4 linked regions of the Astyanax mexicanus genome follow. The protein of the gene in region 2 purifies or fractionates together with the protein of the main gene of each other region. This does not show direct contact. Links are inferred from orthologs where the notes say so. Each region holds a gene or a part of one and is shown on either strand. Other genes may lie near its edges. The genes, in order: wrap53, histone H2AX, nap1l1 and gon4lb.

Region 1 (7,071 bases), on a different chromosome or scaffold from region 2:
AAAATCTATTTAGGTCATTTAATATATTTAACAAGAAACAAAGTCAAAATTAATTAAAAAATCTGGCCTAGTGCTTCATTTTGTTTGGTTTCTGTCAAAAATAAATAAATAAATAAAAATAATCAGTGCATCCCTAATTATAAGACCACACAGCAGAAGAAGCTCACCTTTGTCTGTGATCAGAACAATGCCTTGATTCCCACCATCATCAAATGTGGTATCTACACCTGTATCAGTTGGACAAATGTCCAACCCTACTCCTTCAGCAAGACGTGGCTGCTTGGCAGCAGGCGGTACCGCCTCCTCCTCTGCCTCCTCCTGAGCTCCACTGATGGGCAGATTCTGTGAACCTTCTTGAGGAGGCTCTCCATCAGCTTCTGCTTCCTGCCCTGCTGCTCCCAAACCCCCACCTTCACTACTCTGCCCTGGTTCCGACATATCAAGAACTTTCTTTTATTTAAAAAATATGTGCTGCTTTTCTTCAATACGGCTCGTGTGCAAAAGATTTTCAAGACGAGTGGTTTAATTCTCCGTCCCGTCTGTCAAATTGAAATCAAGTAGGTGCTACTGGGGTAATGTTTCTTGCGACGGTGGTTTGATCGTACTCTTAATGGCACTGGGAACATCACAGCAAAAGCAAGACCCTGGCGACACAAGAAGGAAAGAAAATCACAGCATTATTAAAAAAGTAGAAATGGAAAAAAATACATCTAAAACTATAAACAATGATGTTCAAACTATTTGAAAATTTTAAACATAACTGTATCAAGACTAGATACCAGTAGATACCAGTTTTAAATTAAACAACAACTCTGGTAAGTACTGGTAAGATGTTGCCATTCTTTACTTTAGTTAGTTTCTTTTTCAATGCAAGTGGTAGAGCTAAGCTACTGTTTGATTGGCTAATAAATGTATATTCTGACGGACAGACAATAGATCTCAGTCTTGGTTAAGTGCAAGAATACACAAGAAAGAAGGAAAAACAATGTCCACTGCAAAGGACAGAGGGTCTGAAAGTGAGGGGACAACTTATAAAGCATTAATTTACAAAAAAAACAAGCTGTACTATTCTTTGGCTATGATTAATTATCTCGTTCCCACACCTTAATAAATCGTGGTCATGCCTTAATTATTTAGTTTTAACATGATGTCACCTTATGCTGACCTTTTTGGACAATTTTTAAGCGATGTCACTTTCACAGACGAATTTCCAGAGTCTGGACAAAATCATGAGTCTTGCTAGAGTGGAGTTGCGGTCACGTCATCTCAATGGTTCAGTGTAAGGTGGTTAGGGATGAAAGTGTTAGTCAGTCTTTTTCTCTTCCTGATGTTAAGATAAAATCAACCATGTTTAATATTATCGTAAGCCTTGAGACTCGGCTCACAAAAATAGTGATGTCAACAATCAATAGGAGAGCTACAGGAAGCCGCAGGGCAAGAATATTTTATGTGACTGTTTACAAACGATTTGAAAAAGAACACATTTTGCAGTTAATTTGCCTTACTTTAATATGTACATTATTTTAAACACAGGTGGCACTTTTTGCACAGTTATTTTATTTGTGCAGTGATATTTGTGATACAAACAAGTTCAATAAATACAATTTTTGCAAGGATGGTGTTCTTTAGGATGGTATTTGCATTAATTCTACCTAAAACAAAGACGTATAGCAGTGAAAGTGTGATTCTTTGCTAGACAAGGTTGAAGCATAAAAGGGGAAAAGAAGGGGCAGAGGCATGTTCTCCTCCACCAGTCTTACACACTGCTTGTGATTATCAATCTTCCTCTTGATTATATTCCAGAGATTTATATATATATATATATATATATATATATATATATATATATATATATTCCAGACAATTTGGTAAATTCAAGAAATCATTAAGTGTTCTCTTTTTTTTTCTCCCCAGAGCTGTGCATACAAAATTTTACACTCATTACTAGGCATTATAGTCGGCTATGCACTTAAATTAGTTAATAAAATAGTTGAATTAGTTGCAAATATCAATAATTTATCCCTGAGGTACAGGATGAAGCTCTTAAAAAAATGAATGATTAAGAAAATTATCCCTAAACTAAGCAAAATAATCTAACACTTAAGCATAAAATGGGAACAGAAGTTCATAGGCAGAGTTGAACACAAAATGCATTATATTAAAACAATTAAGAACCAACAGTGTGACAGAAAAATAAACTGTTGATGGGGACAAAAGTTGTGAGTCTATATTTAATATATATTATGTGTATATAAAACTCCACCAGAAGCATGATGGGAAATAATCTTAGAAAGAGAATCTGTGCAAAATCGTAGCCTGTAAGTAAAAAGTCTGTGTCTTGTCTTTAGATGTGAGAGAATTTCAGACTTTAGCCTAAAGTCTTTTCAGAGTCTTTTTTAAAGTCGTGTAGTGTATGGACAGCATAAGGGGCTTCATAACTTGCTGTATAGGATTTACGACAAAACTGTAAATAACCCAGATAATCAGATTAATGCACAAATACAGTATTATAGCTGTTAGCTTAAGTCAAATTGGTAGCTGAACAGTGAATATTAGCCTAGCTAATGTTTACAGGCCATTTAACATTAGCTTGCTAGCGTTAGGTTAACTAGTTAGCTAAGGTTAGCTAGTTAACTGTCACAGCAGTACTAGCAGCTCAGACTATCCTCTCAGCAGCTGTATTTATTTATCTATCTATCGGCGGGTGTGGGTATAAATGTATCAGCACGCTGTACAGAGTAAAATACTGCAGCAGTTTAATGTTTTTAATCAGAGTTTAGCTCCAGCCTGGCTGTTACCTGTAGTTCTGCTCCGCTGCTTCCTCCAGCCGTGACTTTCTGAGGATAGCTCTGCTGCCAGCAGTTAAACTCGCTCCCACAGCTGAACCTGTCCCTATAACAACACGAACAGCAGAGAGTCCCGGGTTTAAATCACACACTACGGCCTGAATCCAGCAGACACTCGTGCTGCGTGTTTACACACGAACAGACCCGCCATATCAGCAATATAAACACCGCCAGATATCGCGAGATCTGTGAGTATTTAACAGCGCTGTAATATCAGACTCAACCACCAGAGGTCACTCGCGGACCATCGCTCACAATCAGGCAAATCGTGGGTCCAAATCTGAATATTATTGAAAAGTTACGTTATTTTAGTAATTCTATTAAAAATGTGAAACTCATTTGTTATATAGATATATTACACACAACAGAGTGATCTATTCTAACCATTTATTTATTTTATTGTTGATGATTATTACAGAAAATAGAAGGTTTCAGTGTAACAATGTAACATATTTTTTCATTACCCCTAAACAACTTAAAAGTTCTTTACTTTTAATTATTTATATTGTATATATTGTAGTGTTTATTTTATCTATTTTTATCTATTTATTTTTGCATCTCATCTCATCATTTACAGCTAATGAAAATCCAAAAGTAAGTATCTCATATTATACAGTTCTGGAAAAAAAATTAAAAGAAAACAATGTTTATTTTCCCCAAACATATACCTAAAAATAGCAACATCAGAAAAACTGATTCAGAAACTGAAATGGTTCAGATTTTGCCATCTATAGGTATATAGTAAATAAACATTGTTGTTTTAATTTATAAACTATGGACAAAAATTTTTCATTCCAAATAAAAATACTGTTAAGAGCATTTATTTTCAGAAAATGAGAAATGGCTAAAATAACAAAAAGATGCAGAGCTTTCAGATCTCAAATAATTTTATATTATAAAGTTTTAAGAAAGTTTTTTTTAGAAATCAATATTTGGTGGAATAACCTGTTTTTTAATCACAGTTTTCATTCATCTTGGCATGTATTCCTCCACCAGTCTTACACACTACTTGTGATCATCAATCTTCCTCTTAATTATACTCCAGATTTATATATTTTATATATATTCCAGACAATTTGGTAAATTCAAGAAATCATTTTTAAGTGGTCTTATATTTTTTTTTTCCAGAGCTGTGCACACAAAATTGTACACTCATTACTAGGCAATATTTTTTAGTCGCACTTTAATTTGTTTAATTAGTTGCAAATATCAATAATTCATCCTTGAGGTACAGGATGAAGGTCTTAAAAAAAGGCTCTTTAGTGAAGGTGATTTTTTTAACATAATCAATCAATCAAGTCTTTTTTAAAAAGGTTTACAAAATGTAAATGATAAAACAACAAGGCAACACAAGTCTGTATCCTTAATAATAAGCATTTATTTAGTATTCGTCTTCTTTTTCAAACAAACAAAACCCCAAACTATTTACACGCTGATTAATCAGGACATTACTACTTTGTTGCTAACATTTTCAGTATTGACTTCAGAAAAGTTTTATCTGACTCGTTTAAAAGTTTAGCTACAGGGCTAAGCTGACAGGTAAGAACGAAAAGGCAAATGAACATTTTCTTATCTCCGTTACTGTTAATGTCTTGACATGAGCGGCATGAAAGGAGATTCAGATTCAATACTGATTTTGTCATCGCCCTTTGCATAAAACCAAAATATGGGAAAGAAAATCATCCATAACATGAAATGTTTTTGGGAAAATGTAAGATGTTTCTACAGTCACTACCATTATGTGTTTGGAGTAGCATTAGCTTAGATAACAGATTTTGTTCACATTCTAATAAAGCCCACAGTCAACAAATATACCATACAGTCCAGATTTTAGACCTGTGTCTAAGCCTTTTTCTTGCAAATACATGTAATGGTAATGATGACTCACCCCAGTTAACCTATTGTCATTATCAAGTCTTAAACTGCCTGGTTTGAAACTTTTGCCACAATAAAAATATGGGACTGCATTTCTACGAGCCCTGTAGTCACATCTACGACCTGCTGACTTGGAGAGAGTTGGAGAGAATCTAAAATGTAGAGATAGTCCAGGTAACGTTAGAAAGACAATGCACTTCTTATTAAGAGCACTGCCACACTGTAAAACCTGCATGCAGTGCAAAACCTCGTTACACAACCTGCACTTACCTACAGAGCAGCGCAAATGTACAAGCAGACTAGGGTCTCCAAATAAAGTCAGACTCCAGGGTTAATTACACTGCATTATCTAATTAATTCTAGTACAGAATAAAAAAAGGATATAGGGCTTTGCAACTGTGCAATGCAATGTCCCATACTATTCAGTCAGATTTTGTCTGAACAGGTTACAGTAAGTCACGTCTTTGCATGTGTTTAATTTAGGGCTCAAATGGTTCATTTTTTTTAATCTTCTCGATTAGAAGCAAAGCTTTGATTTTTCTCATTAGAAGATTTTTTAAAGAGCTGTTTAGGCAGCACTGAAGTAAAAGAATGTTGAGCTAAGCCTGGTCAACACATAATTTTTCAATCTTTAAGTAGAGGCTTGTCTGTACAGTTAAGGCATGTCTGAGGAAAGAAAAAAAGAATAATTATCACCACACCCAACAGAAAAAAGCAAAAGTCATGTATACACAGTTTACAGGGCAGCAACTTGCCATGAGTATGTAGTCTTTGTATACATCTGTATTTTTGTGTACGAGTTGGTGTTTGAATACAGTTCAAACCAATCAAGACAGCAGTTGATGCAAGTAGGGTTGTGTGAGATTTGAGTATCTGATGATCATGCAGCGTGTGTGCTGAACATGCCCGGCCATGTATGCAGCAGGGCCGGGGCATACAGCTGCATTACTAGTCTGTACAGGTTTTAACTGCCATAGTTCTGTAGTTCCAGTATCCAGAGGCTCCACTCTTCCACTTATCCACTCCCACTTTCAGTCACCTGGAGCTAAAGCTACCTTTAGAGAGACTCATCTGTCGGTTTTCATTTAATAGCTGTTCTTGAAACGTAGTTTCATGGATAAAAGAGACGAGGGGTCCCCGCTTCTTTCCTGTACTGTCGTTTCGCTCTGTTCTGGAAAGGAGATGATCTCTAGGGTCAGCCTCCTCCAGCTTCACGTGTGTTAAGTGAGAGAGGGGTAAACAGCTGGTCAACATCCTGCTCTGGATCTCTGGAATACTGGTGTAGAAAGAAGAAAAGAGAGCAAGTAATCAGTTAAAACGAAAGAGGATCATCACAAATCAATATCAGACTGGAATTCCAAAAATGTTTTAGCATCATTTCAGCATCATAAAAAGGTTAAGAAGGAGGATCACAGTGGTTTATGTGGTTTAAGAAACTCCTCTAAAATGCATTAAAAATTAAAAGTGCTAATATACGCGAACAGTGAACGGTGCTGTAAAGCAAAGCATACCTTAGGAAATCTTCACTTGCAGATATTATTTATAGTGTAGACAATACACCAATAGTAAAACTAAAAAGTGTAAAATTGAATTGTTGACATAATATGAATATGTTGTTCTGAATCTGGAACTTGGTCTGGTCTGCATACTGTGTGAAAAAAAATTATACACATACCAATAGAAGTTCTCCAAAATGGCTATCAAGCATTTTTTTTATTTCCCAAATGTCTACTTAACAGGAATTAAAAACCTTCTTTTAGTATTTCAATTAAAGTCAATGTAAATAATGTAATTCCAAGTCATTTCAGAGCATTTCCATTGGTTCAAGTCATCAAATTTCTGTATAAAAAAAAAACGACCAAATTATAGTGATATGCAAAAAATTAATGAACGTAAAATTTCTCTCTAATCTAATTAATCCGAATCTTGCAACTGTTTTGTATGTTGTGTGAAAAATATGAAAATAAATATGCCTTAAAATGCCATAAAAACCTAAACTATGAATAGAAGTCAATATAAACAGTATATAACTTAGGAAAATTTATAATGGCCCATTTATTTAAAAAAAAAAAAAAAAAAAAAAAAAAAAAAAAAAAAAAAAACAGACCCTGCATTTTTATTTCAAAAGAAATGTAAGACATTAGCTTTTACTACTTGTTTTGGAATTTAAATAAAATGGCTCTGTGTATTCTTACTATTTTCATAACTAAGCAATAATCAACAACACGATGAAGGTGCAGCAGACAGAGATTAGCTTACAGAAAGTTAGAATTTTCCTTTAAAAGTCTACATGACATGCAAAACAAGTGAGAAAAATGCATTTATTACCAGACAGGCAGTTCTGCTGCAC
Region 2 (5,240 bases):
TTTGCCCCACTACTTTTGCTTTACAACTTGTCCCTAACTTGAGAGCTTACTTACATTAAGACAATAAATTACAGCTACACTAGTTTTCAGACTGTGCGTCAGCATGCAGGCAGATTCACAATGAATTCGGTAACGTTATTAATATTTAGATTAAAATCTAATGATCTTATTTATAATTAATCATGGGTTTTTTTCACCACTTTTGCACTACAATTTATAGGTTAACGTTATCTAGTTGGAGAGCTTACAGTTTCTAATGTACAAGGAGCTGGATGATCATTAAATAACAGATTTACATGCTTTGTTAGCCAACTTAAGCCTGTATTAAAGCGATCCTTGCGTCAAATTAAGACATTTAGTTTAGTCACAGTACAACACTTTCAGATTCTAGTTTAGCAGAGAGGCTATGCTATCAGCTAGCGCCAAACGGCACGTTGCACAGTAGCTAGCTAGTTAGCAAACCTAGCTAAACAAAAAATGAATGAAACAAGTTTTGGCTACAAGGATGTCCAGAAAAAAAACCCCAAATAATTTCAAGTTAGACATGTTTATTTTCACCGTATAAAAAGCACACAGACAGACACACCCACACAAGACTGATGATGGAAATAGAAGGTAAAGGAGGTTAAAGTCAGAGTGAAATCTGCTCTTTTTCAGAGGAGATGGGTGGCCCTTAAAAGGGCCTTTGGTTTTTTAGGTGTTATCAAGTCAGAGTTCGCGCCATTTCTGTTGAGTTAATATTCTTGGGACTGTGAGGACCCCTTCTTTCCCGCCTTGCTGGAGCTCGCGGCGGCCTGGCCGGTCTTCTTGGGCAGGAGCACGGCCTGGATGTTGGGCAGGACGCCCCCCTGAGCGATGGTCACGCGGCCAAGCAGCTTGTTCAGCTCCTCGTCGTTACGGACGGCGAGCTGGAGGTGGCGGGGGATGATGCGGGTCTTCTTGTTGTCACGGGCGGCGTTTCCGGCCAACTCCAGGATCTCAGCGGTCAGGTACTCGAGCACAGCGGCCAGATACACCGGGGCTCCGGCGCCCACTCGCTCAGCGTAGTTACCCTTCCGCAGAAGACGGTGCACACGGCCGACGGGGAACTGCAGGCCGGCCCTGGAGCTGCGGGTCTTGGACTTGGCGCGGGCTTTTCCTCCGGTCTTTCCTCTTCCAGACATGTTGATAAGTTCTTCGCTTACTTCTTTAAGCTTCAGAAGAAAAAAATCGGTGTTTGGTTGTGGGGTTGGACTTGCTGCAGTATTTAAGGACAGGCCTCAACGGGCGCTTAGGCCCGCCCCTACCTTCCCATTCGTCAAACTCGCACCGAGAGCGGACGGATTGGCTCGTGTGATCAAAGCCTGACAGGATGTTTTCGCTCATTGGCTGAAAACCGCTGTGCATAATCAGCGCAAAGTAAAACACCAATCAGAGCGTTACGGTTCAATCTTGCACTCTGGTTGGGCGGCGAAGTTTAACTGTGCTACCATTGGTCTCTCCCGCTGTCCATCAACTTTGAGCGGAAAATTCAAACCAATTGTACGTATTCCCTCTGAATTTTAAGTCGAGGTATTTTGGCGGAAAGTCAACAAAGGCATTTTTATATTGTAAAAGTATTCAGAATGATGAGAAACATCTGGTTTAAGTTTAACTCATCCTATATATTATATATTTATTAGATTTTTTTTAGATTCAATATCAACTAATATACTAATATCCATCCACTTCTTGAACTTTAAAAATGTTTTTTTAATGAAGAAATAAGGAGCAGAAAGCATATTTATATTATTTATAACCCCACATCAAAGTCAATGTGCCACCATCTGGTTATTAAAAATTAAGGATGTACATTAAAATGTACTGCTTTAAACTATATCAAATATATGACATAACCAATTAATATAAGATATATATTTATTCAATTTTTTATTAAATACAAAAGCTAATATGCATGTATGTCTATATGTATTAATGTTCTTGGCCTTTTAAAAATACTTATTTTCTGCAATCCTCATCACATGAATATTACAAAAAAGCAGGCCGTATATTAAGTTTACTTATATGTCAAATATATTAAATAAGTCATATAAAATGTTAAAAATATATTTATTTTATTTTTTGGTTCAATACAAAAGCTAAGATCCATAAACTTTAATGTAAAAATACTTTTTTTAAATATTTTTTTTATAAAAAGTCAAAATGGCTTGTGTGTGTGTCTGTGTAAATGAGAGAAGTGGGGGTAGGGGAGAGAGAAACAGGGAGAAAGAGGGGGGTATATGGACAGAGAGATAGAGAGAGGGGGATGGGGATATAGTGAGAAAAAAAGGTATAAAGAGGAGGCAGTAGTACTTCCTGCTCTGCATATTTTTTACTGCAGTCAAAATTCCACCACAAAGTATATTAAAAAAAAAACAATGCATATTTAGTGCACTGTATAAAAAAGAGCTTAGTATCAATACTTTTCCTATCAGGACCAGTTTTTAGAAACAAACATATATAACGTCTAAAGACTTTTATTGGTGTGTTGTGTTAGCTCAGCCAAGAAATCAAACTCTGGTATAACATGAAATTCATTGTTAAACACAACACTACACTACATCAATCCATCTCTATTGCAAGAAAAATAATGAATGAAGGCCTGTTCCCTATTTTTTTGGACAGCCATGCAACTTTTTTTTTATAGTAACTAAAGAACTATATGTCAGTGTGATAGCTCAAACTAATACAATATATATTGTTTATTTTAAAATTTTACACCTTTATTAACAAGGCAAGTCTTAGAACTTATTTTCAGTGGCAGATTGGAAGAAAATAAACCAGAGACAAGTGCATTTTCAAAAATAATTTATTCAGAATAAATTAAACATTGAAGTAGCCACATAGTAATATAAAGCATCAAATATCTGAGAGGCATTGTTTCTCTTTAGGCGGCTCACTGTTTTCATAGACAATGACATTCTGGGCCTACTAGCAGTGTAATGTTGGGGTCTTCAGGCTTTCCAGGCTTTTTGGGGAAAAGGGATAAAAGACTGGAGAAAGAGTAGAGGATCCCACCTGTAAATGTTCAGCTGAAAATTGCTAATTTACAAACAACCCTCTGAAAATAATGAATGCACTGCAATATAGACTGTGTGTGCCTGAAGCCATTGTCTGGAAGATTTAAGGAAGTCATTTAAGGAGTCAAAAAGAAGACAATGATGACTTTATTGGCCTGGATAAGAAACAAACAGCTTACAGGTCAAAATCAACCAGCTTTCACCATCAAACACCACAGCACTGTATTTATACACTGGAATTCCACTGATGTTTCTACATGTTTTGTCCTATTTTACCATTAAGATGTAAGCAAACTGTGTCAGCGTGGTTTGGTGTGAACTGATATTTGGTGTGAACTGATAATGATCATTCTATATTAATTTATTGAGTCAGAATTGTTCATAATTGTAGTGAATAAACCTGGGCATCCAAAGTATTTAATGCCTCCAAGTAGACCTTTCACAATAATTACATTTTCAGCTCATTGTATAATATATGGACATAACTTTGAGTATTTTTGTTTTCCTGATATCGCCCAATATGTTTTTCTTAACACGTAGAGCCCATTAACCTGAATGATTTAATTTTGTTTGTTGGGAAATATGCTGTTCTAGAGAAATTTCCACAGTGGTGGTGAATGGCTTTCAAAATGTCCCTCAAAGCTCCATAATAAAAAAGATATCACAATTTTTAAACCACGCTTTTGGCCTAAACATATATTATATTTTTTATATATGCATTAATTTAGTTGTTAAGATTATTTTTGGATTTTTTTTTATAGTAAGATTCTCTGGAATAATACTCATCACAATAAACCACTCCAACTGAGCATTAACACCTTAAAACTGAATTATGCAAAAATGTTGAAACATCAGTGAACCATCCATCAAGCTGTGGTCTTTGAGTGGTCAGATAATTTCCCTTTGAATAGCCAAAGCCATGAGAAGCTGAATTAAGCTGCCGTCCTTCACCTATTTATGTTCTTATGCAAAATCGAAGGTGAAACTTTTAAAACGTAAACGTTAGCACTATTATTTACACGTTCAGGTCTGCTCATCTATGCATGCAGGGGACCCCATTCATTCAGGGTAGTCTGAGTTATCTTATTGCAGCTAAATATTAAAGAAATATAAAGTGTGGGCTTGTCCGAGCTTCGAGTAGTCTTGAAAAAATTTTATATATTTAATTTTGTGGAAACCGTTCATGATATCCCCTGAGGTGTTTTTTTTTCAACCTGAAATACATTTCCAACCTACTGTAACTTTAACTAGACATGATTTAAAGACGTGTTGATTATCAGTTTTAGAAATGTTTAAGAAGAATAAACATATCTGAGTTAAATTTGTCTATTTTTCCATTTCTGTTCCACTCAAGCGTAACTGTGAGATATGCGTACTACTCGTGTATTTCTTTAACAAATGAATATAATAAAAGAAGAAGGTGCCACAATGTAAATCAAAGAAGAACCACAATTTGAAAAAAACAGGGCTTAAATATCTGTTGATCTAACTCGCTATCAACTACAGCAAAAACAACAAAGCACACAGCATAAGCCTCACCATAATTCACCCACTGAAGACTCCTTGGTTTGGTAAGGAGGAATAATTTAGTGTCAGTGACAGTAAACAATACACAAAAATAATAAAACTGATGAAGAAGATCTCCCCACCACTGTAAACAATCAGAAAAGAGTTTCAAAAGTGTGCAACTGATGAAAATTAAATAAATAGTAATCATAGTAAAAAACAAACAAAACAAACAAACGAATAGCAACATAATGCGGGAGGCTTTCTGATAAGTATTGGTTTATGTCGCCCCCTTGTGCTGAACAAGTCTTACAGCATTTTACTCAACCACTATTTCTCAACTCACCCACCTCCTCTCCTCCACTTAAGCAGCCATTTTAAGTCTCTTATTTAACATTATACATTACACAATCAAAAGGTGTTTTCAGAAGAACACAAATAAATCCCTTTATCCCCCCCCCATTTTTCTTTGCGATTCCAGCACTAAACAAAACGTGAGGCATCTACCTCACTCTCATAAAGCAGCGTCTGCTGTTTGCGTCAAATACCTACGTACAACGAACACAAAGGGTCAAAAATATTCCCAGCGTGTCCCAAAAGTCTCTGTAGGATAAAGTTGTTCAAGAAGCACAATTTTCCTTTTGTTCCAAATGAACTGTTCCAAATGCTCTAGCTGCCCCTAAACTCTTTCGACAG
Region 3 (7,065 bases), on a different chromosome or scaffold from region 2:
ATTCTGTCACATTTCCATCAGTCCTGGTTTATTTTAATATACTGCTTTTATCTTCACTGCAATCTATTTTTACTTTCTTTCTGGTGTATTCTTGTCTCTGATATGCTTCTCCAACAGTTTTCTTCTAGGATTCTCACACTCACACCCGTGTGTGTTTTTGGGTTAGCAGCAGGTGGACAGGGCCTGGCTGCGAGGCAGATGCACAACAGAGGTGGGCAAATAAGCTTTGGCACTAACTTCACATTGATAAAGGAACTACCCAATACCCACCAAATATCACCCTGGCACCCACCCCTCATTACCTGCTGTGCCTTTTTCAGTACCTACTGTCAATTTAGTATCCATTATGATTTATTTAGCATCTATGATAAATTATTTACAATATCCTGACGTGCAGCTCTAAGCTGAGGCATGCTGGGAATAGAAAGAAGCGGTACTTACTTGTCGAGATCGGCCATGTCTGTTTTTATTCCTGAGGAGAGAGAGAGAGAAAAAAGATTTTGGATCAGACATGACAGACAGTAAGTGTTTAAAGAGACTAGTCACTCTGGGCAGCAATTAGGCGACATTAGGTGCGCTTTCAGTCCGTTCCCAAACTACTTCTAGATCGGTTGTGATTGCAATAAGAAAACAATAAGACCTTGAATAAATTCAACTATCAGCTGTACTGGACAGGTTTAAGCTGGCATATCAGCACTCTTACCAATAAGAAGGGAGACATTCAAATGATTTTTATATTTTTATATAATCGCAGAAAATGTAAACAATCTACTGCACTACGTGTGTGGGGGGGGATGCATCTTCATCCATCTTTGACCAATGTCAAAGCAGCCAGTGAGGACCTTTTGTATTGTGTTTTTTCAGATGAGTAAGCTGTAATCTATAGTGGAGGGGTCCCATCACAGGCCAGGCTCTTTTGTGGAGCGCTATAATAACGTCATTCTACTGAAAGAGTTTTTAAGAGCTGAACTTTGCAAAATCCACCAGCGGCAAGGCACACAGACAGAGGCACACAGACAGAGGCACACAGACAGAGGCACACAGACAGAGGCACACAGACAGAGGCACACAGACAGAGGCACACAGACAGAGGCACACAGACAGAGGCACACAGACAGAGGCACACAGACAATACATGATACTTGCCCTCCAGGTCTCCTTACACACTTAACTATAAATCTGAGAGGTGAACGTTATTACTGCAGTTTAATATCTGAATCCTGTTTAAATGTCATTGTTGAATGGCAAAACAAATCCAGAAAAAAAATAAGCACCAGAATTATCTGCACCTTCTCCATAACTAACATGCCAGACCAAAGGTAGAGGACCTTAAATTACATTTCTGCCTTTTACTGCAAGTTTTAGAAAACAGTTACTCATAGTAATAACCTGTTGTGGATCTTATTTCTTACTTGTCTTCGTCAGAGTTGGCATACTCTGAAACTGTTATTTGTATAAGCTATATTAGTTATACTTATTTCTCACAGCAAATAAACTAAATAATAAACTGTAAATATGTTAAACCTGAACACCAAAAGCTGAGACCTTAGGTTTAGGAGCTGCTGTTGGGATCTTGATAGACAAACTGACACTGCATAAGATCTAAAAGCAACACAGCTCTATTCACTGAACTTTACTGAGTTCTTCCCCTTTAGCCTCCACAGAACCAAGCCAGGCCACGTGGACATCTTTAACGCCCCCACCACCACTAAACATTACCAAAGAATCCATCATTATATTTGGGTAGAATGTTTTGCTTACATTCTGAGACTAAAGCAAAGCCTATGCTTATTTTACACTGGTAATACATGGAACACATTACAAAACTAAACTCAGACTAAATCATAATCATAGAATCCAGACCTATGTATTAAGACCGTAGTGAGTGAAAACCCTCCTTTTACCACAGATATGCAAATGAGATTAGTTGCTGCCTACATTTAAAAAGCTGTGATGGATCAGAGCAGAACTGCAGCACAAAAGCCCAGCTTGTTTTCTGTGACCTCACAAATACACTCCATTCAAAACGAAAATGTTTCTCTTTCAAACATGTAGCTACAGATTTAAAATTAAACAGTAATACAGATGACCTCACAGCAGCCCACTCAGACACAGTAGCTACCACACTATTTTGGACCGCATGGGCATTAGTGGGCCTAACTGGCAAAAAGCAGGGCAACGTTTTATGACTGGACTATAACCGTCATTACTTTATTACTACTTTAACTCTTAGCAGCTCTAATTTCCCCATCACCACCACCTCCAAAGAGTGAGAGCAACCGCTGCCCCCTCGCCAAGACCGGCCGCGGCTCCACGTGTTTCCCCGGATGAGCCCGTTAGCACTGAGGCTAACCCCTTAACCCGGAGGGGGGACGGATTAAAACCAACAGCGAGAACTGCCGGTACCTGCCACTGTGGACCTACATTTCTCCGGTTGGGGGGTGTTTTACAGCTCCTTGTCGGCCCTACGAGCAGCAGGGGAGTTATTGTGAGTGATGTGGAGGAGCAGATTAAAGCAGCGACCCCGCGGTGTGTCTGAGGTAAAATAAAGATTTTCAGCTCTGTTACTCTCCTCAGCTCCAACACCGCGCCCGGTCGCCGCGGGAAGGACAAGAAACGGGGGGAGGAACAACCAGACAGGCGACACAGCCATAAATGCCCACAGCCCGCCTCACTAACACAACATCTAACCCGTATCTTACACCCGCGGGAACTCATTCCCTTACTTTCCGCGATACAGCCGCCTCTCCCCGCCCGCGTGTGGGCCGCGCTTCGTTAGCTTAGCATCACCATCAAACACATTCCCCCGCGGCTGCCATCGAGAGAACACGCAGTTCAGTGAGCCACGGCGAGCTCACCTGCTGCTGATCCGGTGTACCGGCGGGTGCGGGAGACTCTGTAGGCGGAGATGAAGCGGTCTGAGGCGGGACTGTGAGGCCGGGACTCGGAGACTCTGCCTCAGCCTGCTGGATCTGCGTGTCTCTCTCGCGCCGCTCTGATGGCGGTAAAAAAGGGAGCGCGCTCCCGCCGCGCGCGCTCATATAGCGTCATCACGCAGGGCGGCAGTCACCGGGGTAACGCCGAGCCAATGGGGGAGGCGACCGGTCGATGTTCCCGCCTTTCCCGCCATGTTGTTTCTGAGGAGAAAGTTGTTAAAAATGGGGTTTTCTGAACTATGAGACAGAAAGTAATGCCATTTCAGACTGATAGTCAGGGGTAAATTACTCAAATACTCACTCAGAGGAATCAAATGTTGGAGAAATAACACTTTATCACTGTATATTAAGATTTAAGCTTATAAAAAGGCCAATAATCTGAAACATTGTAGCTAGTCTCTACACTGAATATATAAAACTACATACCAGTCTTAATTCATTGTAACCACACCCCCTATATTTACATAAACCCCGCCCGCTGTAGAAAGCCACAGGTAGTCAAGGACTACACTTACTTCAGGAGAATAATGTTTGTGGTGAGTAGCTGACCACATGTCACACGTTGAGGCTAAAGTAAAATACGCTGTCAAGTAAGAATAATAAATAGAATATAAGATAATTGCATTGATTTTGTTGTGCTATATGGGTCATGTGAGTTGTAGTTATGAAATGTGGGTTATGTAGTAAATGTTTTACTTGAAGGTTAAAGAACAGGCTGATAAAATGGTTTGTGTTGATGGTTTCTGGCCTAATAGTAAACGTAAAGGCAAAATAAAACCAGTTTACAGGTTTGTAGGTATAATTTAGCATGTAAATGAAATCCAGATTACTACTTAATGTACTAAAACTCTACTGTATTGTTTTCACTTTGACTCATGTGAGGTTTCTCCTCCACTGCTTCAAACACGGGGAACCAACATCTGACCACAACCAAACTGTAAAACATCTCCTTAAGACTATTTTATTGTTTAGAAACAAACTAATAAATTGACCTGTGCCAAACTTTCAGAATGTTTTAAAGATATATTGCATTTTTTTATTATTAGCTGTATTTTAGCACCAATTCTTTTTTTCACTTCTGTTTACGAGACTCCACTTGAGCAAAGGTGTAAAATATACTACTGAACAAGAGTTTTTCTGTTTTACTCCTCATATTAGATTTAGATAAATACAAGTCAGTATACAGTTTCTGCACTTTAAGTTAGACTTTTACATAGATATATACACACACTGACCATAAACATTAGAAAGGTGGTGCTATAACTGGGTGCAGTAATAATAATGATCCCCAATATTATATCCTCTAACTTAACCCCAGGATCAACTCTAAAATAACTCTACCATAATTTTTAAGATAACCCTTAAACCCACTCTTAAAATGGAAATTCCAAGAATATCCACCAGTTTAAATGGCAGCACCTGCATGGAAAACTAACCTCCCTAAATTAATGATGAAAGCAGTCGAAAAATTGTCTGTTTTACTAAAAGGCTACAGTAACTGGATTGAGGGTTATGTGCACGACGTGGAAGGTAGGTAATTGCCTTTGTTTGCTGTATTGAAAAACTTGTGTGTTTGCAAGCTAGTTTATAATTTACAGACTAGAAAAATACCTTGTAGATTGTCTAACTGTCTTTACAGGCTTCACTGAACTATCTGTGCAGGCAAATAACGAAGAAACACTCTTTTGTAAAGTGTCAATAATAATATCAAATCATACATAAAATAAATGACCATTAAATGCCAAATACAGTCCAGCTAATCATGCAAGTGTACACTCTTGTAAGACCAGGATACCCACGGTAGCATATTAACTAACTAGCTAAGATGGCTACTCTAAAGATACTCTATGGCTTGACTACCGCTACCCCCCCACTCGTGTTCACATTAGCAGAGAAAATAGAAACATTCATGGTCAACCCACAGACCAGCTCCAAATACCTACAACCGCTGTGCATCATTCAACTATTCAGCACACTTTGTACAGGGTGAGGCTGTATGTAGTCACTTGAGGTATGCAAAAGCACATTTGGACAAGCCAGGTTTACTTTGGGGCTGTGTGACTAGTGCAGGTACTGGGAATCTTGGTAAAGTTGAGGAACGCATGGATTTCAGAAAATATCAGCAGATTTTTCAGAACAATGTTTAAGATGAACAGTACAATATTCTGGAATGGCTATCTCAGTCCCCAAACCACCTGAATAATATTGAAAATATGTGGTGTGATTTAAAGTGTGCTGTTTATGCTCAGAAACCATCAAACCTGACAGAACTGAAGATGTTTTGTAAAGAAGAATGACCCAAAATACCTTCAACAAGAAGCCAGACTCTTATTGAAAGCTATAGGAAGTGTTTAGAAGCTGTTATTTCTGCAATATACTAAATCATGATGTATTTTTTCTGTTTGGGTGCCCAAATGTATGCATCTGTCTAATTTTGTTTAATTATTGCACACTTTCTGTAAATCGTATAAACTTCTTTTACTTCTCAAATTTCACTGTATTCATCTGCTACATATGTTTCACTGAAATTACTGATCCAAACAACTAATGATTTATAAAGGAAAATCATACCACTGTATATAAAGCTTATGTACTAAAGTGGTAACTTAAAGTGTAATTTATTTCTCTTTATGTATTATTACTTTTATTTATTTTTATGTAAATCAACTTATAAATGAACTGATGGAGCTAGGAGAGTGTATATGAGTGAATGTGCGAGTGAGTGTGAGTGCTGTATCAGCAGGGTCTTTATGTTCCAAACTGAAAAAGTTGCTGCAGTGTCACTCTCATTCAGCACTCGGATTAACTCTGCATTACAGCAGTCTGACACACACACACACACACACACACTCTCTCTCTCTCTCTCTCCTACTACAGAACTTAGGGGCCATTAACCTACAGAGAATGAGAGATCATTACCCCTTTTTTCATCTATCAGTTTTTCTCTCTCACACACACACACACACACACACACACACACACACACACACACACACACACACACACACACACACACCGTATCTGATAAAGATGCTCCAGTATCTCACAGTGATGAGAGATGGTTGTCTGAACCTGACAGAGCAGCATTTCATTTGATTAATAAAAACTAAAGGCAGAAAGATCCACAAACCAACAACTGAAAACAGCTGAAGTAAAGGCCTGGCAAAGCATATTAAAAGGTAAACCCAGTGTTTGGTGATGTCCATATGTTCCAGACTTCCAGTGGTCTTTGCCTGCAAAGGATTCTTAACAAAATGTTAAAAATTAACATTGTATTTATGGTAAATTTAATTAGCTAATTTTTGTTTAACCCCTTGAATGAAAGTCTACAGTTGCATCTCATTTGTTTAATTTTAAATCTAATAAGGTGACATGCAGAGCCCAAATAAGGGAGCTTGTTTCAATTTCCAAATATTTCTGGACCTAACTGTACACCCAATCCAGCCCAACTAATTTTACTTTTATATACACAATGCAACCCAACCCAGTCTAATCTTTTATACCCAAACTGATACACCAAATGCAGTCTAACCCAATCACGATGTTGTCACTGACAGAAGAATGAGATGGATGGTTGTCACTGTTTATTGATTATTAATTGGTGTTACAGGTGATTAACATACAGGAAGTTAATCCTTAAATACAAATACATCATCATTAACCGTGTAGAACAGAGAGATGCAGCGCACACTGTCCAAGTGACAACAGGACACACACACACACACACGCACACTCTGTGGTCGGTGGGTTAAAACGCGTCTCTAAGGCTGATTATGGCACAGTCACTCACGCAGTAGTGAAAAACAACCAAAATTAATAAAAGTGGAAAAAAACTTAAAGCAGGCTCCACCCATCACATGCCCCTTCTAAGTCCCACCCATGGCATAGCCCCACCCAGTCTCTCCCAAGAACCCCGCCAACCATAGCCACTCTAAAAAGGCACATTAATGATAAATCTGAAGTTATTACTGGTGTGACCACATTCAAACCTCTAAAACACGCACACACAAAACAGATAAAAGACACATGTGATATGACGACAGTGTCTAAAGCATTTGTGTAGAAAAACGTTAAGTAACTCATTCCTATATTCCTCCCATTTGGCTTTAACTGATAATATTTACATTAA
Region 4 (7,940 bases), on a different chromosome or scaffold from region 2:
TGTAGGTCACCCTCATACCAATAAAATAGTTCTAATCAATTACACTGAAGATGTTGTCAGTGGATCCTTTGCGTCCTGTATGTTGTGAGGATCTGTATGTGGGCCAGTGACCCTGTTTTACCGATTGTCTTTCCTTGGCCAGTTTTGTTAGGTACTGACCACTGCATAGAGGGAACAGTTCGAAAGACCTGCCTAATCTAAAAAAAAAAAAAAATTATCACTTCGCTGCCTAGTAGTTGTCATTTTTTTCAGTGCTGTCCTTGTGCATTAATAAGAACCTTTTTCTGGCATTTTTCTGGCAGCTCTGAAGATTCACGTATCCTCAGCATCGCATGACATTCTGCAGGAGTTCAACTGCTTTCAGCTAGAACTGAGAGGAGATGTGGAGATGAAGGGCAAGGGAAAGATGAGGACCTACTGGCTGTTGGGAGAGAGTAAGAGCAGCGAGTGAGCGGAACCAGGTGCTGAGCTGAACCCACACAGTGCACTAGTGGACCACCTGAACACACGTAAAGAACCACTATCACAACTTCCGGGCTTCTGTCCACCTTTGCACACTCCTTCACTTGCATTCCAGAAGGACACATTGGTGGAGTCTGGAGAACTGTGGTTTGTGTGATGATAGAGACATTAGGATATTTGTATGCCATGAACACCCCTCACTGTCATTCTCACTGTTGGTTATAAAGAGCACGAAAAGGAAGGGGAGGCCATGTTTCCAGCTGAAATGTAATCTTGTAAATCATGTAATCCCACTGCTTTAAAATCATGACTAGACTCATGACTCTCTCTCATTAGTCCCATGCTGTAGTAGCTGTGTTTCCCATTTGTTTTAGAGGATGGTGCAAACTAAGATCCACAGAGCATCGTGGCTGTTTGATAAGAGTGTGACTGAAGTTTAAAGTGGCAGCGATTGAACCAGCGTAATGGCCTAATTAAATTTTGTGAAGTAATGGTGAAATAATCATGATTTTCTTCTAACATTAACAGGTACAGAACCTGTGCACAGTCTTTGCACAGTAGATCTTCACCTATGCTGAGCACACATTGCATCTATGTAGCTGTTAAACCTCTTAATGCTAATTCTCATTATGCTATACTGCTGGGGCTGTAAATACTGACTAATGATGCTCTGAACTTGTGGACTCATCCTTAATAACTTAAAAGATGAGTTCCTGTAGATTGGGTGTTTCTAAGAAACCTTCAGATTGAGGCACAATAACATCAAAGATCAAAGGTTATGATAACTCTTAAAGGTCTAAATCTAGAAGGAAAAAGTGCAGCTATATATATTTGTTTGAAGAATCTATCATTTGGAAATATTGAAACGTAGCACAGTGGAAATTCCCTGTGGTTTGATTTTGCCATGTTTGCTATGTCTGTTTTCTATGTTTATTTGAAATGTACACATAACTGTAACTATGGGAGCATTCGGGAGAGTGGGTTAGCAGGATGTTAGATTATATTTCTGTAAAAAATATCTAAAACACTTATGTTGTTTTTGCAAACTGTCATATGATTTTTATATAAAAATGTGAAATGCTGTTCAATTCCACAAATGTATGAGTGATTTTATAACAAATCTGGGGCAAAAAATATCTTTAAATAGGCAAGAAAGGTTACATTCAATGAAGGACACTTTACAGCCTTTGGACAGTAGTACCTTTAAGATTTAATCCATCTGTGACACACACACACACACACACACACACACGGTTAACTACAGTAGTAAAAACACACACCAGGAGAGATGGAGGTTAGGTGCTTTCCTAAAAGGCACCTTGTTGTGGATTTAGATTGCGGTCGTTGAACTCGTTTGTAGTAGGGGTAAGATAATACTAATATCAAAATGTCCCAATACTAAATTGATTGTCAAGAATTATGTGTTGTGTTTTATCTATTAATACAGTTTTCCTATGATTTGAGTTTTAAAAACTGCAATATATTGTTGTTCTTGCATCATCACAGTATATTGCAAAACACTTGAATTCTTTAAACCCCTGTATGACATACATTGTATTGACAGGTACTCAGAAAGAGAATAGTCCCTCTAAATGACACTAGTATCAAACAGACAAATAAAGTGAGTATATTGAGAATTACTATTAAGAAATTATTAATTAAGAAATGTAATAAGCAATCCATGTTGCATTGAGATCAATGTCAGTTCATAACAGAATATTAGCATCAGTGATTAATTATGAGATACAATAAGATGGTGTAATTGCAGGCCCTGTCATTATAGTGGTATGTGTTTTTTATAAGATTGGATACAAAATTAAAATGGGACACAGATTTGTGTTTTGTGTAAATGTATACACATTTTTTACTGAAATATACTATTTTATAATAAATACAATACAATTTATTACACACAACTGCAAACATTTATAAATACATTCTTAAAAACTTGCATCTCTGTGAGTTTTTGATCTCAGTAAAACTCAATGTAAATTTAATTACTTTAGTGTGAATATGGTCACATACAATTTCAAACCTTTACTTGGAGCCATGTGGCAATCAACAGGCCTGAAAACTGTCACTGTTCATGAAATTATGGTTTATTCATTGTCAGAAATATGTGACCAGTGGGAGACTACAGTCAGAATACAATAACACAAGCAATGAAAAAGATAAAAATGATATTTAAGATTAACAGCAGCAAACTGTGTTATCCCACTGGTGACTATTGTTTTTGCATCATATATGAATCACCAAAGGACCATAAAAGGAGTACATATATATATGTATATATATATGTATGTATATATATATATATATATATATATATATATATATATAGTAGGTGCCTCCTTATAATAACATATCACAACCAACAGTAATTCAATGTGTATTTTGATACATGAACTGGTTAACCTTCACTCCAAGTCTCATCATTTAATTTTCCACTCACTATCAGCTCATTCTGCTTTTTCAAGGGCCTTTTTCTTCTTGATGGAGTATATCTCTGTAATTATCAGGGGGACTTCTTTAGTGTGAATGTCATTTCAGGGAAGTTTCTGGAAGTGAATTGGCTCTTATGCTTTGAAGCGGTTCTTCAGGAAATACTTCAGTTTTTCTTTCCTCGTTGAAAAACTGCTGGAACGGTGTGTGCACTTGTGAGGCTTTGAACAGTCACGTGAAGTAGAGAGGTAATTTTCTTGTTGGAGAGATGAAATACAGCATGCTGCTACACTGCAGGACTGCAAGGAAGACTCACTCTTAGATTTCACACACTGTAAGACAAATAACAGAAAGACAAATCCTGTTAAAATATAGTAAAATCAGCAATACTGAATGCACTCTTCTAATAACATTTCCCTTTTTTAATGTTGGTGGATAATAATGAATTAATCATTGTGAAAAGGTTATTACCAATGAGGAAAACAGATTTATGTGTTTATTACTAATTTAATTATTTAATCACTCTGAGGTCACTCTGAGGTGGATATATCAGAACAATACTTTTAAAATGTAGTTTTTTTTTTCTTCTAAACATAAAAGAAAAAAAAATTAAATGTACAACAATTCTATTAGATTTTTAATTCATGTTAGATCCGAGTTGTACATATTGTTTTTGTGTGTGTGTGTGTGTGGGGGGGGGGGGGGTTGGTTTGGTTCAATTCCAATAATGCGAACAATTCTAAACTGTGACATTAAAGTCTCTCTGAGGTGGACATACTATAAATTGGCAGAAAACTATTTATTTTATGTTTAGCTTTTGTAAATATGTAATTTATTTGTATTTTATTAAGCACTAAATAATTACAGCATTTTTATGGATTTTGGAATGAAACAAATATGAACTGACATTAAAAACACTCTGAGGTGGATGTACTATAAATTAGCAGAACATTATTATTCATTTCATGTTTAGTTTTAGTAAATCTAATTTCTTTTTTTGTTTTTTTAAGCATTAAAGAAAAAAAAAACATAAAAAAGTGTAAGTAAGTTCTAGAAACAAACAGTATTTTTCTGACTGACATTAAAGTCAGTCACCCTGAAGTGGATATACCATAAATTGGATTAGCAGGAAAAAATACACATTTATTTATGTATTTATTTATTTTTGTAGATTTGTTTTTTTCATTTGCAATTTTCTTTTTAAGAAATAAATAAGTAATTGTAATAACTTTTTAAACCAAACCGTTTATTGTATGCTATTTTTAATTATTTTATTATTTTTTACAAATGACAAATACTACTCCTGGTGATTAATACCCAGAAACATAATTAACATTAATTAGGCTGTAAATGCAGCTGTTTTCACATCTGGAAACCCACCTGCTGCTGCTGCTGTGAAGCTCCAGGCTGTGTCTGGCTCTCCTGGAAGAACAGCGACTCTCGGCGGCGGACGCAGGGGCTCTCCCCCAGGGTGATGAAGCCGTACGGAGTGGTGATTTTGGCCAGGTGGGGCAGAGACATCGCGGCTCTGGTGCCCGGGTCTGACAGAGCGCATGAGTGAGGCTCCAGGTCCGTGAGGCTGAGCGCTGAGAACGGGCAGCAGCAGCGGCTGTTATACCGGAGAGAGTGAGCTGAGGCCGGCAGCGTGTTGCGCCGAGAGCCGCCCCCCGCAGAGCAGCGCCCGGGCCGAGTCACCGCGCACAGCGGCGGGATGGTGAAGGGAGGCACGCGGGCTGGAGTCAGCACCATCTCCCGCAGTGAAACGTGCCGCGAAGCGACCGGCTGGGCGTCCTGGAGACCTGGAGGAGCCTGGAGGGACTTCTCTCGTTTAGCAGCTGCTGAACTCCCCGCGCAGGGAGCCACCAGAACTGCGGGTCTGCAGATGCTCAGTCCGGGCATGTCCAGATGTTGGATGGAGGTGCTTCTTTCCAGCTGTTGTGTTCTGTAGCTCTATGAAACTAGGCACTGCACTCATTTGAGAACTTAATCAAGGACTCTACGCACTTAACAAAAGTCCCACCAGCACTGATGAAGCTCAAGTACATCTTTGCTGGTGACGCACATAAACAAGTTCCACCCACCACAACTGGACTCCGCCCGTAAGGTGAGCAATATGCTTTGTCTACTGTAATAGGAAAGGGCCCAGCCAGCTTTCTCATATGGGGCTCACATGGATAAAATGTGACCTAGGTGGGTTTCAAGTGTGATTGTACACTGTACAAACTGGGCCCGGAGTCTGGAGGAAGAGTGGAGAGACACGCACAGCCCAAGCTGCTTGAGGTCTAGTATGAAGTTTCCACAAAAAGAGATGGTTTGGAGAGCCATGTCATATCAAGTCCAAAGTCAGCACATCGTTTTCCCAGAAATTTTTACAACACTTCATGCTTCCCTCTGCTGACAACTTTTATGGAGATGCAGAATTCATTTTCCAGCAGGACTTGGCACACTGCTCACACTGCCAAAAGTACCAATTGAATATTAATTTTCTGAAACACTGATTTTTGCATTTTCTTTGGCTGTCAGCCATAATCATCAACAATAAAAGAAATAATGGCTAATAAAATAGATGACTTTGTGTCTAATACATTTATATAAAATATGAGTTTCACATTTTCAACTGAATTACTGAAATAAAGTAATTTTTAAATTATATTATTTTTTAGATGCACTAGTAGCTGTAACATGCTATATTTAACATGCTGTAGCATATAGCTATTATTGCTGTATGCAATAAAATGTTTTTTTCACGTCTGAGCTAAGATTGACTAAGATTCATATGTTTAATTAATTTATATTAATGTATTACACAGACAGGTCTAGAGATTCAGAGTCTGATTACGCCGTCGGGCTGTAGGGGGCGGTAGCTGTTGACTACAGGGTTTTTGCTCGGTATCACCCGCGAAACGTCAGTTTGTTGTGGACCGGCTGGCTAGTGCGTTAGCTGGCTAGCTACTGATGGCTACATATAGCTGTTTCAGGGTAAGCGCTTTATTTATTGTGAATTAAATAGAGACAGATCAATAAAAGCACTTAATTGTCAGCAAGTGACATGATTTACTGGGCACAGATATGTAGAAAGACGTATATAGACGGGTTAATGTCTAGTTAGCTGGCTAAGCTAACTAGCTCTGTTGTTAGCCATATAGCTGAATGCGGCTAAAGTATTGTGTTGTGGTTTACCGGGGACTGCAGTTAGTTAGCTAGTTAGCTCGCTAGCACATAGTGGAGCTGTGGAGATAGTAAGCTAGCTAACACCAATACCTACAGCTTAGGTCGTTAAATTAGAAGGAAAGTATAGCTAAGCTAGCTACTAGTTTAGCTACAAGACATTCTCTGTGTCTACTATTTAGTGTCTCACTGTGTTAGGATATAATTACCGTAGGTTATATCATTAGCTGGACGATGTAGCGGACAGTTTTTGTGCTTTTTCTGTTAGCTAGCTAGAGCTAATTGACCTTTATTCGCTGGGTAGCTAACTTAGCTTAGCTGTAAATGTTTCTGGCTAAGGTAGGGTGTAGCTAGCTGCTCTTCCAGCAAGCATATTGACTCCCAGCATATCAGCACTTTATCCCAACTTTCTAGCTAGCTTTGTAAAATGCATTCTATATACAGATTAGGAACTCTAGCTCTATCTGGAGTGTTTACATTGGGTAGGCTGGTGCAAAAATGGGCAATGACATTTCTAAGTTATTTAGTTACATGTCCAAATGGCATCCATTGCTGACACAGATATGCACAGTGGACACACTCGACAAATTTCTAGTCCTTGTAAATAAGTAGCTGTTGCCTAAAGAATAGGACTCTGCTTGGAGGATATAGGTTTGGGCCAAAGGGGTACAGTATATAACCCCCAGCACTGAGCTGTGGTGCAGGGGAACTGTATTCCCTGAAATAGTTGTGCTCTGTTCAGCATTTCTGGGATATGTTGGTAATTATCCTAACTCCCCTACAGCTCTTGTCATTACATGCAATGAAATAAGCACTGCAGTGTTCTAAATTGGTGCAAACTTGGGCAATAAGATGCCTTAACTAACTATCTGTCAAAATTGCACCCATTGCTGACACAACTTGTCCAGTCTCTGTAGCAGAGTTCATACAGGTGCTTGAAATCCTTGAAAATGCTTGAATTGTAATGTTGTTTTTTCCAGGTCTAAAAAGTGCTGGAATTTTGGATAAAGTGCTTGGAAACGCTAGAAATCATTGCTGTGTGTCTTTTGCAGCAAACAGCTATTTGACTAAATACTCTCCTGCTGCACCTCGCTCGCATTTCCATGTGTGATAATTTGGAAGAAGTGAACTAATATAGCTAATCATTTTTCCACTTTATTATGTAAAATGATGTATATGGATATATAACTGGTTAAGGATATAATGTATAATGTATACATTATATATGTAATGTATATAATTGTTCATAGGGGCTTATTGATGTATAGCAAATAATTTATTATGAGTATGTATGTATTTGCATAAATACGTTTAATTTACCTCAGATAAAATGGAAGATAGGCCATGATTTAAAAAAGCCCATCTTTTATTTTATCCCCCACTTATTATTACTTTTTGTTAATTAAGTAAAATAGTTATTGTTTTTTACATTTTAGATTTTTTATTCATTTAATTAATGTAGTTGTTTGGGTTTGCTTATTAAGAATACACATATGTAACAGAAGCCTGCAGTAAATAAAATTAATGTGTGTATTTTCCAGTCAAGCCACATGATTTCTGTTCTGTTCTGTTCTGTGTTATAAATATGTCACTAATGTTGGAAAATCTGTTTTTTACATTTCTCTTCCACATCTTTATGGTTTTAAATAGTTCCTCAACTAATAAATATATCCATTTTAGTCTCCACCAGAATGTTTGAAATATGCAAATGCAACTTTGTAATTCTCTGTTTCATATTAGCTCCAGAAGCGAGATGAAAACGGGCCGAGGACGCAGGTCCAGCTCCCCAGATCCTCTAGCAGTTCCGTCGAAAATTGTCCGGAGGGATTCTGCCTCTGGATCCCATGGTGTCTGCAGACTGACAAGCA

The links.
Region 1: the proteins of histone H2AX (region 2) and wrap53 purify together in Homo sapiens (affinity purification with western blotting; 3 studies listed by BioGRID). This does not show direct contact. The link is inferred for Astyanax mexicanus from reciprocal best matches to the Homo sapiens genes H2AX and WRAP53.
Region 3: the proteins of histone H2AX (region 2) and nap1l1 purify together in Homo sapiens (affinity purification with mass spectrometry; 3 studies listed by BioGRID and IntAct, counting the BioPlex papers as one, with this or other methods). This does not show direct contact. The link is inferred for Astyanax mexicanus from reciprocal best matches to the Homo sapiens genes H2AX and NAP1L1.
Region 4: the proteins of histone H2AX (region 2) and gon4lb purify together in Homo sapiens (affinity purification with mass spectrometry; 3 studies listed by BioGRID and IntAct, counting the BioPlex papers as one, with this or other methods). This does not show direct contact. The link is inferred for Astyanax mexicanus from reciprocal best matches to the Homo sapiens genes H2AX and GON4L.

What each region holds. Positions count from the first base shown.
Region 1 is NC_064415.1:15,365,672-15,372,742, forward strand, and holds the start of wrap53 (telomerase Cajal body protein 1), read right to left. Parts: upstream 3,016-7,071; 5' UTR 2,799-3,015; intron 645-2,798; 5' UTR 439-644; coding exon 168-438; intron 1-167. UniProt on the Homo sapiens protein: RNA chaperone that plays a key role in telomere maintenance and RNA localization to Cajal bodies. Specifically recognizes and binds the Cajal body box (CAB box) present in both small Cajal body RNAs (scaRNAs) and telomerase RNA template component (TERC).
Region 2 is NC_064408.1:15,369,722-15,374,961, reverse strand, and holds histone H2AX, read right to left. Parts: upstream 1,260-5,240; 5' UTR 1,164-1,259; coding exon 735-1,163; 3' UTR 532-734; downstream 1-531. UniProt on the Homo sapiens protein: Variant histone H2A which replaces conventional H2A in a subset of nucleosomes. Nucleosomes wrap and compact DNA into chromatin, limiting DNA accessibility to the cellular machineries which require DNA as a template.
Region 3 is NC_064409.1:26,596,953-26,604,017, forward strand, and holds the start of nap1l1 (nucleosome assembly protein 1-like 1), read right to left. Parts: upstream 3,023-7,065; 5' UTR 2,879-3,022; exon of another isoform or gene 2,859-2,878; intron 473-2,858; 5' UTR 459-472; coding exon 442-458; intron 1-441. UniProt on the Homo sapiens protein: Histone chaperone that plays a role in the nuclear import of H2A-H2B and nucleosome assembly.
Region 4 is NC_064413.1:41,387,069-41,395,008, reverse strand, and holds the start of gon4lb (GON-4-like protein), read left to right. Parts: upstream 1-4,916; 5' UTR 4,917-5,008; intron 5,009-5,800; exon of another isoform or gene 5,801-5,883; intron 5,884-7,812; 5' UTR 7,813-7,825; coding exon 7,826-7,940. Other genes in the region: npr1b (atrial natriuretic peptide receptor 1), read left to right, coding at 303-451; C2 calcium-dependent domain-containing protein 4C-like, read right to left, coding at 3,039-3,236, 4,285-4,803. UniProt on the Homo sapiens protein: Has transcriptional repressor activity, probably as part of a complex with YY1, SIN3A and HDAC1. Required for B cell lymphopoiesis.